Drosophila melanogaster: one gene and its partner. The protein of the gene in region 1 purifies or fractionates together with the protein of each later gene. This does not show direct contact. Each region holds a gene or a part of one and is shown in the gene's direction. Other genes may lie near its edges.

Evidence for each region. Proteins that work in one complex are often made in the same cells at the same time.
Region 2: the proteins of Top1 (region 1) and ppan purify together in Drosophila melanogaster (affinity purification with mass spectrometry, with the first as the bait; one large-scale study listed by BioGRID). This does not show direct contact.

Annotation. Positions count from the first base shown.
Region 1 is NC_004354.4:15,317,699-15,321,453, forward strand, and holds the start of Top1 (topoisomerase 1), read left to right. Parts: upstream 1-1,793; 5' UTR 1,794-2,082; coding exon 2,083-2,109; intron 2,110-2,255; exon of another isoform or gene 2,256-2,339; intron 2,340-2,670; exon of another isoform or gene 2,671-3,319; coding exon of another isoform or gene 3,320-3,334; intron 3,335-3,455; coding exon 3,456-3,673; intron 3,674-3,755. Other genes in the region: gce (germ cell-expressed bHLH-PAS), read left to right, coding at 1-67. UniProt on the Drosophila melanogaster protein: Releases the supercoiling and torsional tension of DNA introduced during the DNA replication and transcription by transiently cleaving and rejoining one strand of the DNA duplex.
Region 2 is NT_033777.3:21,114,107-21,117,861, forward strand, and holds the start of ppan (peter pan), read left to right. Parts: upstream 1-2,147; 5' UTR 2,148-2,197; coding exon 2,198-2,527; intron 2,528-2,589; coding exon 2,590-2,954; intron 2,955-3,010; coding exon 3,011-3,438; intron 3,439-3,489; coding exon 3,490-3,749; 3' UTR 3,750-3,755. Other genes in the region: Rab11, read left to right, coding at 647-995, 1,145-1,278. UniProt on the Drosophila melanogaster protein: Required for initiation of larval growth and normal mitotic growth but is not absolutely required for general biosynthesis or DNA replication. Required for progression of normal oogenesis and maturation of some imaginal tissues into adult structures.

The DNA of each region.
Region 1 (3,755 bases):
GTCATCGGATTCGGATCGGAATCAGGAGCAGCCGCCGCCGCCGCTTCAGGAGGACGACCAGGACTAGAGTGATGGAGAGCGCCCGATCGGGTCTCGACTGAAGGGTTTCATCGATGTGATATGTAACTACTGTCCTGGCAGTCAGCTCAAGCCCCAACATACAAAGTGTCCCTAATTCGTACCAACCAATAGAACCAATAATTCAGGGTTACTTCTCGTTCGGTCAACTGATGGGTAACTGCTGCGGTACAGTTTAGGTACAGATACAGATACGGATAGATAACCTTTAACCCCAACTTATGAGTGAGCCTGAGACAAGCATACTTTAGATACCCTGCCCACATGCACACACTCACATATATATATATATATATATATATATATGTACATATATACACTGTTTGTTCAGTTTGTTGTTTTTAACTTCCTGTCCCACGTAGAAGGACTTTTACATGCATGTAGAACTAGTTACCGTTACCGTTTCCGTTTCCGATTTCGTTTAGAATGTTAGACACATACATATTTAGTAGCTTAATCCAATCACAGCTGATTCTTTTGAACACAACTTGTTATTTGCTGATCCCAATTTTCTAAAACAAAAAGATGGTAGAACAAATATGAATAGAAAAGAGTCACGTCAATTTGCATCGAAAGCGGAAACGGCAACAAACACCCACAAAGGATTAAGATAATGATATAAGTAATGATTAGCGTAAATGGGAGGATTTAAACAATTATTATGCTAAATGAAATATACTATTAAAAACCTATGTACCATACGTTGTGCGTAATGCCCAAACTAAACGTGATAAAAGACTGTTACCAACTACATACACACATACATAATACCGAGATGGAAACAACCGTAAATCTAAAACTAAAACCTAAACTTAAATCGGCATAGTTTCGCATGAAAAGGTAATATATACATACATACATAAATATAACAAATATATTCATACGCGCACTAAAAGGAAGCGTTGCATAGTTTAATTACATTTACCGTACGAACACTTTTTATAGATGTTTAATGTTGTTATGGTTAAGATAAATCCGGACGAATTGATGGATTTTGGCCAAGCACGGTGCACTGCATATATGTAGCAAGTGAGCCAAGTACAATTTACACAAATGTATACATAATTAGATGCATATATGGTTCGATGTAAACTAATAATAAATCGATGTAAAAGCGTAAAAACGGAAGTTAAGAAACCACACACACACACAAACACACACACCCACAAAAACCAGAAAAAGCTGAGGCGACAAAAATATGAGAACTCTGTTAAATGTTTGTTATGCATTTGTTTTTTTTTTTATCTAAATTAATATTAAACTAATGTATTAGTGAATAAACTTGTGTACCTACATACAAAACAATGATAAAGCAGTTATGGCGGTGGTTTTATTTGTTTTTCTTCCAAAATAATAATTGCAAGAGCTGTACGAAAGTAATAAATTACTTCGATGCCAGAACGTTAAATAATTTCTTTAAATGTTTTATATTTCATTTTGTGGCATTCAATGCTTATTTTTTTTTTTTTGAACGTTTGGCGCTGCATTTACCACAATCAGTGATTTAAGCAAATAGTGGGGAAAACCCTTTTGTGAAAGTGAAAAAAAGTTAGCTTTTTCTTAAAGTTATTCTAGATTTCGTATCAATTCAGTGCTCAGACTATCGAGAAAGAGTGAACATCTATCGACAGGCTAGTATCGACACGGGCACCGACGGTCACACTGTCCGAATCCGAACTATCAGCCTATCGCTCTCCGATAGCAGCAGTCGCTACTTGTCCGAACCAATCGCCTATCGGGGAGACTGCGTGGCTGCTGCGTTCCGTAAAACGCAAAGAAGCCAAAAAGCAAGGGCATTCGCATTGACCAAAGCACCAAACGCTGCTCCTTTTCGAAAAACTTCAGTGCGCTTTTATTTCCCCGCCGCTGTCACCGCTTTAAGGAGCACCAACATCTAATTATTGAAAATCCTAACGAACAGTTTAGTCGAACAGTGTAAAAGCGTGAAAAGAAAAGAAAGGAACGAATAAAATAAAAGAAAAACCGCTAAGCGAGTTCCGCAAAATGAGTGGGGATGTGGCTGCCGAAAATGTAAGTGCCCTAAACGAAATATCCATTCCTTTTTTATGTAATGTGCAAACGTGTTGAATGGGGGGACTTTGCCTGCCGCCTGCAGCCTGCCTGTCAGTCCCAAAAAATCAAGTTAAATTCTGAACCGCATAATTGTAGGGTGCACAGGATAGTTGCAAGTGTACCGCTCGCTGCTGGCAGCTGGCAGCGACGCCGACAGCGCTGCCAGCAGAGTGCGTAAAATACAACGAGCAGAGAAAAAAAAGTAAGAAGAGGTCTTTTGGTAATTGACGAAAATGGCGACAATGCAAGTGGGAAAAGGTGAAGGATGGTGTGAAGCAGGGAGGGGAAGAGCCGAGGCAGACGAAATGTATTTGGCACAGTGTGGCCGCAGCTGGCTGGTATTTTAATCAAAACTGGTATTTTCACCAGCCACTCGAACGTTGCCTTTCCACATTTTTCCCCCTCAAAAACACCCTTTAACTAACTCATTTCCCTGCATTTCCACTGCAACTTGCCTTATTTACGTTCGCATAGCGTCTCAATTTCCCTGTTCTTCGTAGATTACCACCAAGTTTGGTCACACTGCCCTCTTCCACACACATAATATCACATGTGTTTGCTGCTGTTGTTGTTGTTGTTGTTGGTTGTGGACCGCTGCTTTCATGTACATATGTAATTGCAAGTGTCCCATTTTGCAATTACACTTCTACATGCACATACATATACGAAGGTGTTCCGTCGTCTGATAAGACAGATGTGCCACCCCAAAACAGCCAAAAACAAATAAAAGCATTAACTAGAAAATGCTCCGGATGAATAATATGCAACCACAATAACAACAATAACCCCGTGGGGATGTGTTTGTGTGTGTAGCTGTTAAAAAAAAAAAAAAAAATGCAAAAAGTGTAAAAAAAAAGCAACGATTTTCTGTATTCTAAACGACTCTTGTGCGTGTGTGGGTGTCATTGTTTGGCAAGGTGTTTTTTAAATATATATTAACCTATTCCAAGTGATTCGGAAACAATTTTCAATTTCCTGTCGCCATCGCTCGGCGGCTCTTCTTCTTCGATTAACCCATTGCTGGTAGTTTAAAGTGAATTTTCCTACGCGGCATTTGTTAGGGTTGATTTTCACCACGTGGTGAGCGGATAGACACGAGATAATAGCCAATCATCGCCAGAAATCGAGAGGAAATCGAGTAGATCCACAAGCGACCAGTTGGGCCAACATGACGGATGCACAGGTTTCTGGCCCGGATTCACTCTCACTTTTCAGCTGGTCCATCTACATATATACGTACTAACTAACTGATACCATCTCCCTTTCTTCTTTCTTCCATCTCGCCATCTCTCTCGCGCCCGCAGAGCATCCACATACAAAATGGTGGCAGCTGCGAGGTGGTTCAATCCAACGGGGTGACCACCAATGGACACGGACACCACCACCATCATCACCACAGCAGCAGCAGCAGCAGCAGCAGCAAGCATAAATCCTCCAGCAAGGACAAGCATCGTGATAGGGAGAGGGAGCACAAGAGCTCCAATTCCTCCAGCTCGTCGAAGGAGCACAAGAGCAGCAGTCGGTACGTATGTAGGAGCAGATCGATTTGACTCGACTCTATGCGATTCGATTCGAATCGGGCCACTCGTGTCGAACCATCTGGA
Region 2 (3,755 bases), on another chromosome or scaffold:
ATGGAGCTCCACCCCCACACATCTACCGCACCGCACCCACAGTGGGGGAAGTCACGGGTGAACTTGCGTGTGCGTTTCGGTGGGAGGACACGTAGTTGAGGCGTCTATCGGAAAATTGGGGGGAAAAGTTTGTTCAATTTGAGTAAGTGTCGAGAATTTCACTAAATAATGGATTGCCAATTGGCTTTCTTGCATAATTTCAAAAGCCATCCTACGGGATTAGCCAAAATGTTGACATCATAGTTGTCACTTGTGCTGAAATAATAAATTTATGTGGTCAATAACAATTATATATTACGTATGTATAAGGATTTGTGTTAAACAATACTTTGTGCCATCTTTTCGAAGTAGCTTAGTAGGTCATCTTAATATTTAGTATATCAAATGGGTTCAATGAATATAACTTACGCTACTTGCGTTTTTTCTAACTAGTGTAAGAAATTTCAAAAATTGGGTTCTCTTACTAGAGTTAAAAGCTTATCCATAAGCTCTAATTTATGTTGGTTATGTGTGAATACTGAATGCCAGTGCTTGTATATTAATTTTCAAAGCGAATGCGCCGCAGGCATTTCGTGGCGAAATTGCCAATTACTGGCACCATTCTAATGCTGTCCTTTGTTTCATCCTTCTTGTGCATCCAACGCAGGTCGATGGCAAAACAATTAAAGCGCAAATCTGGGATACGGCCGGCCAGGAGCGTTATCGCGCCATCACCTCTGCCTACTACCGCGGTGCCGTGGGGGCCCTGCTCGTCTATGACATTGCCAAGCATCTGACCTACGAGAACGTGGAGCGGTGGCTGCGGGAATTGCGCGACCATGCCGACCAGAACATCGTCATCATGCTGGTGGGCAACAAGTCCGACTTGCGGCACTTGCGCTCCGTGCCCACGGACGAGGCGAAGCTGTTTGCCGAGCGCAACGGCTTGAGTTTCATAGAAACCTCGGCCCTCGACTCAACGAACGTTGAAACGGCATTCCAGAACATACTCACAGGTGGGTCGTTCAGGATATTTTAGCTAGTCTGCTTTCAAATTATCGATCGTTTAAGAATATTTAAATACTGTAGATTAAACGCTTCATTGAAAGTCAATAGATTAATGATAACGAAGCACGACTAATGATGTCTCGTAATCCCGTTTCAGAGATCTATCGCATTGTGTCGCAGAAACAGATCAGAGATCCGCCGGAAGGCGACGTCATCCGCCCGTCGAACGTGGAGCCCATCGACGTAAAGCCGACTGTCACCGCCGATGTGCGCAAACAGTGCTGTCAGTGACCGCCCCAAGCAATTTTCGCTATTCCCCGCAACCGCCAGAACAGCAACATAAACAGAAGCAACAGCAATTACAACTACGACTACAAGAGGAGCAGCAGCGGCCAGAACTGCAACACCAAGATCAGGAGCAGCGTACACCCGATGGACCGCACAAGATGTCTATGCGTTTGTCAGCCACAGTTTGTCATGTGCGCATAAATTGATAATTCAAATCTGAGCCGCCACTCTCCACCACCAACACCACCACCATCATCAGAAGCAGCAGCAGCAGCAAAAGAATCGAAAGCAACAACATCCGGCTGTAGTTAACTGCGGTTTAAACTGAAGTTTTATATATATACAGATCCATGAGTATCGCATAAATCGACCGCCGCGGAAAGAAAGCAAGCAAAACTAAACACTCCAAATTCAGTTTAAGCTGTAGAACTATAATTTATATAAATATACATATATGCTAATATTAAAATATTAATATTATTAATTTTTCGCAACATAAATATATAGTTGTAATTTCGCGAGCAGAACAACAACAAACAACCGGAAATTCTTCGACTTAAACGCAAATTCATTACCACAGCACTGCAGCTCGGATTTTCTTCTTCGGTTTCTCGCAACATTTTAAACGATTGGCCACTTGGTAAAACTAGCTGATAAAGAGAAATCAAACAAAAACAGTTGTAAAACTTTAAATGCATAAATGAAACGAAATAACATCATTTGTGTTTGCTATGTTAAGTGTGATTAAATAAATATAATTTAAATAAAACAGAAGTGCTTTCAATTGGGCGGAAAATCGAAATTTAAAATGGGATTAGAGTGACCAAAGGCAGACGTCGGAGTGGGTGTTTGGTATTTTCCGCGCGAGCAGCCACACTGATCCATACACGTGCGGGAGAAAAGTGAACAAAAACATTGAAACATGGGCGGTAAGAAGAAAGTGCATCCGAAGACGCGCACGGCGGCCTTCAAGGCCAGCGAGCCGAGCGAGATCGTGGAGGCGCCGCACTCCTTCGTCATCCATCGCGGCCTCGCCTGTCCGTACATCACGGACCTCACCCTGGACTTCCGCCGCATTATGGAGCCCTTTACGGCCAGCAATCTGCGCGAGAAGCGGATGAACCGCATCAAGGACTTTGTCAGCCTGAGCAGCTTCTTCCACGTCTCGCACATGGGCATCTTCAACAAGGCCTCCACGCAGCTGTCCTTCAAAGTGGTCCGCTTGCCGCGCGGTCCTTCCCTGACTTTCAAGGTTTGTTTGTTTCATCGCTTAGTTTATACTGGATATTTTACCGCGAAGTTATTCTCTGTCAGGTTCACCAGTTCACCCTGGCCAGAGATGTGATCTCGCTAAGCAAAAAGCAGATGATTGACAACGATCACTTCAAGCACGCTCCGCTCGTCATCATGAACAACTTCAGTGGCGATGGCAAGCACCTTAAGCTGATGGCCACCACGTTCCAAAACATGTTCCCCTCAATTAACTTGGCCACGGTTAATATCGGCACCATTCGTCGCTGCGTCCTGTTCTCCTACAATCCGGACACGAAGCTGGTCGAGATGCGGCACTACTCCGTGCAGGTGGTGCCGGTTGGCTTAAAGCGGGCGGTCCAGAAAATCGTCAAAGGAACGGTACCCAATCTGGGCAAGTGCAACGAAGTCGTGGACTTTGTGACCAAGTAGGAAATGACCGTTTGTTCTCATTCCATCAAATAATCATAATATTGATTTTCAGGGACGGCTATGCCTCCGAATCAGAGGCCGAAGATGATGAGCAATCACATGTGGTGCTGGCACAGACTCTTAAAAGCAAGGGCAACTTGGAGGACAAAAAGAGCTCCATAAAGCTACACGAGATCGGACCTCGACTAACCATGCAGCTCATCAAAATAGAAGAGGGCCTTCTGACGGGCGAAGTACTGTATCACGACCATGTGGTCAAGACAGAGGACGAAAAGGAAACCCTGCGCAAGCTGGTCGAAAAGAAGCGAAAGCAGAAGGAGCAGCGCAAGAAGGAGCAGGCAGAGAACCGTGCCCGCAACTTGAAGCTTAAGAAGGATGAAAAATGGGCTGCCAAGAGGGCGGCAGAGGGACGGACTGACAGCGATCCCGAGGATGATGCAGAGTACTACAAGGAGGAAGTCGGCGAGGAACCAGACGAAGGTGAGTTGTGCTACATGCTGCGTAGAATATAAACTAATGTTTCCTTTGCAGAACTGTTCAAAATGGAAGCGAAGTCCTCCCGAAAGCGGCCTAGTTTGGGCGGCGGAATGAAATACAAGAACAAGCGCGCTAAACTGGATACCAAGGACAAGAATGACAAATCTGAGCGCACGGACAAGTACGATCGTAAGGACAAGTTCGATCGCAAGGACAAGAAGGACAAATTCGACCCCAAGAACAGGAGAGCCAAGTTCGATCCCAAAAACAAGCGCGCCAAGTTTGACCACAGAAAGAGTAGAAAATCAAAGTAGTACATT